Ovis aries: one gene and its partners. The protein of the gene in region 1 interacts with the protein of each later gene in a biochemical or structural test. Links are inferred from orthologs where the notes say so. Each region holds a gene or a part of one and is shown in the gene's direction. Other genes may lie near its edges.

Region 1 (3,694 bases):
GGCGCCGAGGCCCCCGCCCGGGGTCAGCATCGGCCGAGGGTGGACCCCGCGTGCGGGACGCGCGCTCACGCCACGCGCGCGCCCGCGCCGAGGAAGGGGCGCCGCGGCTCCCGGCGCCCGTTTTCTCGGGGTCCCCCCCGCCCCCCGCCCCGCGCCTCCGCCGCCCGGCAGCCGCCCCCCCGCCGCGGGCGGTTCCCCGGGCGCCCCCGGCCCCTCGCGGGCCCCGGAGACCCCGAGCGCGCGCCCGGCCGCCGCAGGCCCGAGGAGGCCCCTCGCCGCCGCCCGCGCCGCCCGCGCCCCCCACCCCGGCCGGGCGCGCGGCGCGGGCCCCCCGAGCCCCCGGCCCCGCGGCCCCCGCCCGCAGAGCCCCCGGCGGGGCGCGCTCCGCGCCGGCCGCGGCGCCTTTAACCCGGCCGGGGGGGGCGGCTCCGGGGAGGGCCCGTCCTTTCTTCTTTTTTTGAATGAACCGTGTGACGCACGCACAGGAAACCGGGCGGTTCGAGCGGAGAATGAAGTCAGAGGCCGGGCCCCCCGCGCCGCCCCCTTCCTCCCGCCGCCCCGCCCCGCGCCCGGTCCCCCCGCCGCCGCGAAGGTGCGGGCGCCGGGCCCCCCCCGGGCGGCGTCCTCGGCCGGAGCGCGCGGCGCGGGGGCGGGGAGAGGGTGCGCGGCCCGGAGGCGGGGTGCGCCGGTGGGGTGCAGCGGAAGAGGGGTCCGGGGGGGGAGAACTTCGGAGCAGTCATCCCTTTTTAGGAAAAGAGGGGAAAAAAAAAAAAAATAAAGCCCTCCCCCGCCAGCGCCGCCTCCCACCCTCGCGGCACCACACACAGCGCGGGCTCCTCGCGCTCGGCACCGCGGGGCCGGCGCGGCCAGCCTGCGTCTATCGGCAGCTCTTCGGAAAATGCCTTGGCCGTTCGGAGTTTGATCCGGAGAGGATCCCCGCCCGCGTCCGCCGCTCGCCCGCCGGCTCCGGCCCGGTGTTTTCTCCCCGGGGAGGCGTGAGGCGGCCCCGCGGACACAGACCCATGTGTGTGCCCGCGCGTGTGTGCGCGCGTGAAAATTGCCGAGAAGGGGAAAAATCACAGGACTTCTGCAAATACCGACTGAGAAATGGTAATTCATCCGCCGCCGCCGCTGCCTTCCGTTTGCTCGTGCTCTTGAGATCTCCGGTTGGGATTCCTACAGATTGACATTTCTGTGAAGAAGTCTAGGAATCAAACTGGAAATTCTCCTAAATTTTTGCACCCCCCTCCCCCAACTCCTGATTCATTGGGAAGTTTTCAGAGCAGCTCTAACTGGAGAGTTCTGAAGATTGATGGAATCTTTTTGCCTTTTCATTTGTTTTCACAAAAAAGGAAACTTCACAGAGGATCATGCTGTCCTTGAAAAATACCAGTAAGTTCTTTGCACAGGAAATTGGTTTAATGTAACTGTCAGTGGGAACCTTTGCGATTTTCACTTTAAGTGCATTGGAGTAAGTTTAAATTTCCAGGCAGTGTAATATATTCTTCTCAGCGTGTAACTTGTAGTGTGTGTGTGCCCTGCTTTCAACCAGCGTGCAGAGGGAAACGCACCTGATTTTGACTGATTAGTTTTTTTAACCTTTCAGCATCACGGAGGAGGTGGACTGATATTAACAGTAATTAATAATGTGCCTCATGAAATAAAGATCCGAAGGGGATTTAAGTAAAAATTTCCAGGATCTCATGCCAAGAGGGAAACACCAGAATCAAGTGTTCCGCGTGGTTGAAGACACCCCCTCTTCCAGGAATGCAAAGCACACCCAATGAAATAGCTGGGTTGTAACTCTTCCCCCCATCTGCGGGGCCGTGGGGCGGGCAGCGGGGGGCGAGAGGTGCTGCGGGGGCCCGGCTGCCCTCCCGCGGCGGAAGGATGGCGCACGCGGGGGGCACAGGCTACGATAACCGCGAGATCGTGATGAAGTACATCCACTACAAGCTGTCGCAGCGGGGCTACGAGTGGGAAGCCGGAGCCGCGGGCGCCGCGCCCCCCGGGGCCGCCCCCGCGCCGGGCATCCTGTCCTCGCAGCCCGGCCGCGCGCCCGCGCCCTCCAGGACCTCCCCGCCGCCGCCCCCGGCCGCCGCCGCCGGGCCTGCGCCCAGCCCGGTGCCACCTGTGGTCCACCTGACCCTGCGCCAGGCCGGCGATGACTTCTCTCGGCGCTACCGCCGCGACTTCGCCGAGATGTCCAGCCAGCTGCACCTGACGCCCTTCACCGCGAGGGGACGCTTCGCCACGGTGGTGGAGGAGCTCTTCAGGGACGGGGTGAACTGGGGGCGCATCGTGGCCTTCTTTGAGTTCGGAGGGGTCATGTGTGTGGAGAGCGTCAACCGGGAGATGTCGCCCCTGGTGGACAGCATCGCCCTGTGGATGACCGAGTACCTGAACCGGCACCTGCACGCCTGGATCCAGGACAACGGAGGCTGGGTAGGTGCTCGTCTGGGTGTGAGCCTGAGCCGGCGGTCCGAGTGGCGGGGTGTGGCTGGGCCCAGGGTCAAGGGCAGGCCAGTGGAGTGGAGCCAGGTGTGTGGTCTCCCTTTCTCTTCCCCTGCAGAGAGCTCTCCCTGCCGGCCCCACCGCGATCACTCCTTCCCCGGAGACATTGCTTCCCTTGCGCCAGCTACTGAGGTCCAAAGATCCAGCCTTTGCTGCTCAGTAGAATTTGGGGATAAAGGGCATCCCTTCGAGGTTACTGAAACTGGGAGTCCAGGGATCCCCATGATCACGGTACCTGGTGGAGTAGCTTATTGAAAAGGAGCATTTCAGGGACAACTCATAAGCTGGATGCCAGGCTGAGTCCTGACTCTCTGCATCAGAAATGAGCTCCCCTGGGGGGGTGGGGGTGGGGGTTCTGCTTTGTCCTAAAATTTGAAAACCACTGATTAGAAGAGCAGACTCCTCTAGAGGCCCAGGAGCCTGCCTTCTCTGACTCACTTGGTAAAATCTACCCAAAGAGGAAAACCAGTGTAGCCCCTTTCCCTAGAAAACCTGGATGATTGTGAAAAGGTTAAGTTGACTTCCAGAGTCTGTTGACACTGACCTCCAATGTGTGCCGCGTTCATAGTGGGCATGACCTTGTGTCTTGAAGAACCCTAGGCTGTGGGCGTTTGTTTCATCACTGACGGGTTTCGCGTTGGCCGCCTGTCTTGTATTCTATTTCTATAACTTGTGTATGATTTAGAAGTTCACTGGAATTTTTAGTGTATTTTATTTTCCACCCTAACCTACAATGCACATCGTTTGGTGGGATCCTCTGTGGGGCAAACTTGCGTCCAGAGTATCTATATAAAGATAGAAGAATTGATTCTTAGCTGTGGATTCTCATGCTGTGACTTTAGTTGAAGTGATTGATGCTTGTATTTTTGAAGAACATCTGTGAGCTGTGTTGTTTTTTTTCCTGGTACTGTTGTGCTAGACGGAGCCTCCGTCACGGCACCATAAAGCTCTTTCTGTGAGCGTGATTCTCTGGGGGAGGGGCACAGCTCATAAGACTGAAGAAGTGTCACTGACATCTACACCTCATATCTGAAATGATCAATTTGTGAAAAAGTGAAAGAGGAATAACTCTGGTTCAAGGTTTTGCAGACTTTTTGTTTTAATCTGAAGAGCTGTCCTGAAAAAGGATGCCATTCAGTGGTTCCTTTTACAGTCGCCAGGAGGATTACTGCTATTACTG
Region 2 (3,621 bases), on another chromosome or scaffold:
CGCCTGAGTGTGGGGCGCTTTCTGGGGTCTGACCCCGTTGGACCACCTGCCAGTTCCAGGAGCTGGCGCTGCCCCACTTCGGGAAAGAGGATGCTGGGGACGTGCAGCAGTTCTACGACCTGCTCTCGGGTTCCCTGGAGGTGATCCGCAAGTGGGCCGAGAAAATCCCTGGCTTTGCTGAACTGTCTCCCGGAGACCAGGACCTGCTGCTGGAGTCTGCCTTTTTGGAGCTCTTTATCCTCCGTCTGGCCTACCGGTGAGTGTCCCACTGTGTGCTCAGCCCTTGGCCGGCGCCCTGCCCTCCAGCCCCTCTAACGGCTGTCTGCACCCAACCTGCCAGGTCTAAACCAGCCGAGGGGAAGCTCATCTTCTGCTCAGGCCTGGTGCTGCACCGCCTGCAATGTGCCCGTGGCTTCGGGGACTGGATCGACAGCATCTTGGCCTTCTCTCGCTCCCTGCACAGCTTGGTGGTAGACATCCCTGCCTTCGCCTGCCTCTCCGCGCTTGTCCTCATCACAGGTGGGAGGCCGGTCCCCAGACCCAGGGAGATGGGGAGGGCCTGAGGGCCTGGCTCTGGATGTACCAGCATCTGGTGTTTCCTGGGCCCCCTGCATTGTGGAGTGAGGGTGACAAGATGCAGAGAGGGCAGACGTGGCTCAGGGCAGTGCAGTTGGTGGTTGGCAGAGCCGGGTTTCAGGCCTAGCTGTGGCTGACGGCAAACCATCAGCCTCTGACGGAGCCCAGACTACTCAAGGTCCTAACTGTGTAGGTGTCAGGTGTGACCTAAAGTTTGTTTTTTTTAAATCTTACTGAATCATGTTGCATGGAAATTATCACACAATGTACGCACACAAACAACACACAGGTCAAGAAACAGACATGGGGCTTCCCTGGTGCCTCAGTGGTAGAGAATCCACCTGCCAACGCAGGAGACACGGGTTCAATCCCTGATCTGGGAGAGTCCCACATGCTGCGGAACACCTACGCCTACGCGCGTGTGCCTTAACTACTGAGCCTGTGCTTTAGAGCCCAGGAATCACAACTGTTGAAGCTCATGAGCTGCAACTGTTGAAACCCTCCTGCTCTAAAGCTTGTACTCCAAATAAGACAAGACCTACAATGAGAAACCTGTGCACCGTAACTAGAGAGTAGCCCCTGCTCGTTGCAACTGGAGAAGGCCCACGGAGCAACAGAGACCCAGCACAGCCAACAACAAATAAATAAATAAAGTTATATTTAAAAAAAGAAACAGCCATGACCAGTACCTCAGAGCCCTTCCTTGTGCCTGCTTTTTAGTCATTAGCTGCCCGAAGGGTAGCTACCATCTTGACTGCTAACAGCACTGATTAGCTCTGCTGGTTGTGTACTTCATGTGAATATGTAAATGTAATTCTGCAAGATAGGAGTTTTTGGCATTAAATGTGTAGGCTTTCAGGTCTTTATTTGTTAAAGCACCAGAATCTGCCCCATCTCTTTCTCTCCGGGATCTTTTGTTGTGGTGCAAAGACTCTCTAGTTATGGTACATGAGCTACAGAGCACATGGGCCTTGATAGTTGAGGCATGCGGGATCTTGGTTCCCCTACCAGGGAGCAAACCCCTGTCCCCTGCGTTGCAAGGTGGATTTAAGTTAAGTTTCACAAGGCTACATAGGACCAAAAAACTGTAGGACAGAATCAGAGGTACTTTCGGCTACAGAAAGAGCACTGGGTTTTGAGGCCTGCTTTCTCTGGAGGTGACATCTGTAATGCTGCTACACAAACCCAGGGTTTCTCACAGTAGTCTGGGGTGTTAGTCGCTTAGTCATGTCCAGCTCTTTGCAACCCCATGGACTGTAGCCTGCCAAGCTCCTCTGTCCATGGAATTTTCCAGGCAAGAATACTGGAATGGGTAGCCGTTCCCTTCTCCAGGGGATCTTCCTGACACAGGGATCAAACTCCGGTCTCCTGCATTGCAGGCGGATTCTTTACCATCTGGGATGGGGGGAACCAGAAACCAAAAAAACAATACCGGGCTAGTCAGTGAAACCTGCTTAAGGTTTTATTTCCTTTTTGTGACCTTAGGCAAGTCTTGTAACCTCTCTGGGCCTCACTTTGTCCCTTGGAAGATGAGGATGATGAGCATTGCTGCCTTGCTGGGCTTCTAGTGGGGCTCCTCTGCTTGCGTGGGGTGCAGAGGGGGCATGGGAGATGATCAGTAGCAGCAGCTCCAGAGACCTGGGGGCAGCCAACTCTGCAGGGGGGAGAGGGTCGTCCGGTTCCGGGCAGGGCGTCTAACCCCACACCTTGCCCCCCCTCTGCCGCAGACCGGCACGGGCTGCAGGAGCCTCGCCGGGTAGAGGAGCTGCAGAACCGCATTGCCAGCTGCCTGAAGGAGCACGTCTCGGCCGAGGCGGGTGAGCCCCAGCCGGCCAGCTGCCTGTCACGCCTGCTGGGCAAGCTGCCCGAGCTGCGGACCCTGTGCACCCAGGGCTTGCAGCGCATCTTCTACCTCAAGCTGGAGGACTTGGTGCCCCCTCCACCCATCGTCGACAAGATCTTTATGGACACTCTGCCCTTCTGACCCTGGCCCGGGAACATGTGCGCACTCAGTGTGCACGCTCATAATGCCACCCCACGTGCCTTTAGCCCATGGCCCACGGACCCCCGGAGCATCACCCCGGCCTGGGCCTGAGCTGCAGACTGGCTGCCCCTCCCCCTTGTTCTCTGGGAGGTCAGCAGGGAGCTCATGGCCTCGGGGAGAGGGATGCATTCACAGGGGTGACCCTTACTTTTTGTCTTACCCCCCGAGCCCAGCCCTGGTCTTCATGTTTTTGTAAGATAAACCGTTTTTAACACACACACACCGCCATGCTGTAAATAAGCCGAATGCTGCTGTAAATACAGGAAGGAAGAGGTTGAGGTGGGAGTGGGGGTTGGGAGGGAGGAATGGGCCCCCACCAGCCGCCTCCTACTTGCTCTCTTGCCGCCCTCCTTCCACATGTACATAGACTCATTCTAGGAGGAAGACAAATGACAGATTCTGACATTTATATTTGTGTATTTTCCTGGATTTATAGTATGTGACTTTTCTGATTAATATATTTAATATATTGAATAAAAAATAGACATGTAGCTGAAGCTGAGATCTTCTCTCTGGCACCCTCTACCCATACCACCCACCCCCAAAACAGCATAATAGAGACAGAGGTGGCTCCTGTAAGTCTTTATTTTTGGGCAACCCGTGTCAGGTGGCATATGGGAGCTTAGTTCCCTGACCAGGAATCGAATCCACACCCGCTACAGTGGAAGTGCAGAGTCCCAACCACTGCACCACCAAGGAAGTCCCTAGCTCCCATAAATCTTGCATGTTGCCAACTTGGCTAACAGGCCTCAGTTTACTCATTTATAAAAGGTGAAAGTAATGACACCTGCTTCATGGGGTTGTTAGGCAAAGCACTCAGACTAGTTTCTGACATGGAGAAAGCCTCTGGTGAACAGGCCAGGCTTGTGGATGGGGCCTGTGCTGGGGGCCAATTCGTCCACCGGCTTTGCCTGGAAGTTCCTAACCTGAAGCCCTAGCTCACATGTCCCCTGGAAGTGTAGGGCTGGGTCCAGGGCAGCCCAGGATGGTGGTAGCCACTG
Region 3 (3,746 bases), about 2.8 Mb from region 1:
ATATATATATATATATATATAGAGAGAGAGAGAGAGAGAGAGAGAGAGAAGGGCTTCCCCGGTGGCTCAGCCGTGTAAAGAATCTGCCTGCAATGCAGGAGCTACAGGAGACACAGGTTGGATCCCTGGGGCAGGAAGATCCTCTGGAGGAGGGCATGGCAACCCACTCCAGTTTTCTTGCCTGGAGAATTCCATGGACTGGACAGAGGATCTTGGTGGGCTACAGTCCATGGGGTCGCAGAGTCGGACACGACTGAAGCGACTTGCACGCACGCACATACATAAAGAACACTTATTTTCTAAGAAACTGTGATTCCTGGGAAGGCCGCAGATGCGGGTAAGACGTCCTGCTCGGGATGGTGCTGCCTGGGTTCAGACCCCCTCCTCTGCTCGCGGCCTGTGTGAGCTCAGCTCACTTCATCTTTATAAACCTTCAGTTTTCGCACCCGGAAAGTAGCCACAATGGTGAGAATGTCCGCTTGGTTGGGTTGTTCCGAGGACAGGATGAGAAAGTGTCTTCGGAAGCCCTCAGAGCCAAATTCACAGGATCTGTTCTCTAGTACGAGTGACTGCTTCTCTTTATAATAATGGAATTATTCCCGGGCCAGCCAAACATCGGGCAAATACGTATTCCCAAATGCCTCATTTCTCCCCCCCCCCCCCCCCGGGGGAGCTTTTGAAAGCTGTCTACATGATGACCTACTATTTTTTGGTGTTGTTTTATTAAAGCGTCTGGAAGGAGGTATGAGACCGACCCGTAGGGAATACACTCTGCTTTTAGAACCACTGTCCTCACCCGGCGGCAGAGAACAGCCACTTCCCTTCACCCGCTTTCCTTCCCCCCACCCCCTCAACGCATTTTCCAAACCCAAACAGGGTTTCCTCTCTTGCTCCAGGCTTTTAGTTGGCAGTGAGCTTCCCAACCAGTTTCAGTTTCATTTAAGCTTCCGGCAGCTTCTCTACTGTAATTAAGTGTTCTCATTTTTCTCTGAAAACGTCCCGTACTCCTCGAGTTTGAATACTGTCCTTTCCCGAACCCTTCAGGGGTTTGTTTACGAGAGTCTGCGACTGCCCGTTTATGATAGGGATGACGCTCCAGGCCTCCCCATCTCCAGCCGTTCGCGAGGACAACCCTTCCCGGTTCGCAGCTCAGAGACCCAGCCACGCCTGCAGCCAAGTCCTCGGTCCAGGAAGTAGCTGCGGGGCCGGGTCAGGCTCCCTCCCCCGCTGCGCCCGGCTCGCCCCACGCCGCCTGGGTCCCCGCCCTGGCGGCGCCGGGCCCGAGCCGGGGGCGGGGCCGGGGGCGTTGCGGGCCCAGGGCGGGGCGGGGCATGGGCGGGGCCCGCTGTGGGTTTCGCTACGTCACCGGGAAGTCCCCATACGACCCGAGCGCGCGCTGCAGCGATCGCAGAGCTGCGAGGTTCTTGCAGGCGCCGGTTCAGTTTTTTCCTGCTCTGTGCAGACCGTCGTCTCCTGCCCGTTCTCCCCTTGCAGCCCGCGTCCTGCAGACCCGAGGTGCTCGGGTTGCATCGCTGAGTTGCCCCGGTCTGCCGACAGCCGTCTGCAGAGATGCCTGGAAGGAGGGCTCGTAGGAGCGCCCAGCCGAGCCCCACGCGGGTCCCGGCAGGTAAGGAGAGCTGGGGCCCGCGGAGATCCTGGCCGGGAAGGGGGTCTGGGTCGCGGTCTCGGTCTGGCAGGGGCAGCCCGTCGCCCCGGGGCCTAAGAGCCCGGCGGGACCCGCGCCGTGGCACGTGTTTTAGGGGCGCCTCCGGGACGCTATTCGCGGGTTTAACCCGGGGCGGTGGGGATGGCGAGGGAAGGGGTGAGCCTTGCGATGGGGATGCTGCTGCGTTTGAGCGGCGGCCGAAAGCCTCCTCTCCTTCGCCTGCCTTCCGTCCGCGCTCGCCCTCCCCGGGGCCACGCGGAGAAAAGTCATGGTCACGGCCCGGGGGCTCCGCTGGCGCTCAGCGCTTCCGGAGACAGGCCCTTTTCCTCCGGGGTCCAGCACCTTTTGAGGACCCTTCTGTGTGTCTGACCGCTGTCCCCAGCCCCAGCACCAACAATAACGCTTGATGCCATCACAGTTCTGCAAAGGACGGATGGAGGGCTAAGGAAGCCCCGAAAGGACCAACGACGTCAGAAGCCTGGAAGGCCTGGCTTCTTCGTTAAAAGCATAACATTTTAACAGTCGGTATTAATCACAGAAATGCCATAGAGAAAAACAGGAGATGGTCCACAGTGTTGTTTAATCCATCCCTTCCTCCGCCCTTCCCCATCCATGTAGCCCCATTAAGTAACTTCAGGTCAGCTCTCCTCCTCCCCGCTTTTATAAATCTTATCAAATAAGGCAGACATCTGCTAAGGAGCAGTAGCAAGGAAGTAAGACCGTGGGCTGGAAATCCGTGTGGGTCACACTGCTGTTGCATCAGACAGTGTTGGGCCCCTTTTACACTTAATTTTATGGAGCCCCTGGGGCGTGCAAAGGCAGTGGTGCATAGCCAGTGTGGCCGTGGCTAAGTTGGCACAAGGCTGCTCTCTGGCTCCTGCTTCGGAGGGAAGAAGCTTTGTCCATCTTTTGTGATGTCCAAGAGTTCTGGCTGTGTTGCAAGAATTGCATAACCTTCACGGTCCAACTTGGCCCCCCTTAATAAGGGACAGCAAAAAGGTCCCTCTTAAACTTGATTAGATGGTAAGACAAAAAAATTGAGATGTAAGTGAGGTAGAACACTGTCTTAGTTTTAGGTGTACAGCCTAATGATTTGATATATGTATCAATTGTGACATTATTACTGTAACAACTTTAGTTAACATCCATCACCACACATAGTTATGTTTTTAATTGATACATTTATAGATGTAATAAAAAGATTAAGGAAACAACTAGGTGCCATTTTCTTTTTTTTTTTTTGATGAAAGGGATAATTTTTTGTTACAATTCAGGTCTTTCAAAACGGTAGGCTGAACGATAATTGTTTTTTTAGCATTGTGTTAGTATTTCTAACTAAATACCCAGCTCTTGTAAAAAGAGAATTTGGTTATTTTGAGCCTAAATAGGGAATTTGCAGGGACTGTTTACAAAGTAAATCAGTTTTTAATTTGTAGTCATAATGGGTTTTAGTGATCATGAACATGGTATTGAAATGTACGAAAAAGAAGCTGAATTGCTTTTTGAACTATCCAAGAAAATCGTAATTATGGTCAGTATTGGTTTGGTGTTGATTTCACTTACTTTAAAAGTTTACTTAGAAATTAGATTATAAATATTACTTTCACCTTATATTCAGTTTATTACAGTATCTTAATCTTAAAAAATAGTAAACATGTGAACTAAACATTATTTGTTTTTTGCTTCACTCATTTCCATAGAGGCAGTGGATTGGTACAGAGTGGGAAGAACTTGTTTTAAAATGTTAAGTTATTTTAGAAAATAGGGACTTAATTTTAGAATAAGCTGTTATGAGTCTTTCATGAGAAAACTTGAAAGAGTTGTTTAAATAATTATATGAGGGCACAATCAGAACTATGAATTATTGCCATTTACAAAATGAGCTGTACTTGAAAATAACATAAAAGAATTTAACTTTTCTTTCCCTAGCCAATCTTAAGTGAGAAAGAAAAGGATGAGATCACCTGAGGCTGTGAAACTCACTCACTCTTTGTGGTGTATGACATAAATGTCTATATTTGAAAGTAAGATAACATTACTTCATCCAGGATGCTCAAAAAAAAAAAAAATCACAAGTTAA

The links.
Region 2: the proteins of BCL2 (region 1) and NR4A1 form a complex in vitro, tested with the Homo sapiens proteins (2 studies listed by BioGRID). The link is inferred for Ovis aries from reciprocal best matches to the Homo sapiens genes BCL2 and NR4A1.
Region 3: the proteins of BCL2 (region 1) and PMAIP1 interact in a biophysical measurement, tested with the Homo sapiens proteins (2 studies listed by BioGRID and IntAct, with this or other methods). The link is inferred for Ovis aries from reciprocal best matches to the Homo sapiens genes BCL2 and PMAIP1.

The regions. Positions count from the first base shown.
Region 1 is NC_056076.1:61,899,155-61,902,848, reverse strand, and holds the start of BCL2 (apoptosis regulator Bcl-2), read left to right. Parts: upstream 1-805; 5' UTR 806-1,890; coding exon 1,891-2,445; intron 2,446-3,694. UniProt on the Homo sapiens protein: Suppresses apoptosis in a variety of cell systems including factor-dependent lymphohematopoietic and neural cells. Regulates cell death by controlling the mitochondrial membrane permeability. Appears to function in a feedback loop system with caspases.
Region 2 is NC_056056.1:134,283,955-134,287,575, reverse strand, and holds the end of NR4A1 (nuclear receptor subfamily 4immunitygroup A member 1), read left to right. Parts: intron 1-53; coding exon 54-256; intron 257-340; coding exon 341-519; intron 520-2,303; coding exon 2,304-2,560; 3' UTR 2,561-3,117; downstream 3,118-3,621. UniProt on the Homo sapiens protein: Orphan nuclear receptor. Binds the NGFI-B response element (NBRE) 5'-AAAGGTCA-3'. Binds 9-cis-retinoic acid outside of its ligand-binding (NR LBD) domain.
Region 3 is NC_056076.1:59,079,412-59,083,157, forward strand, and holds the start of PMAIP1 (phorbol-12-myristate-13-acetate-induced protein 1), read left to right. Parts: upstream 1-1,407; 5' UTR 1,408-1,569; coding exon 1,570-1,627; intron 1,628-3,746. UniProt on the Homo sapiens protein: Promotes activation of caspases and apoptosis. Promotes mitochondrial membrane changes and efflux of apoptogenic proteins from the mitochondria. Contributes to p53/TP53-dependent apoptosis after radiation exposure. Promotes proteasomal degradation of MCL1.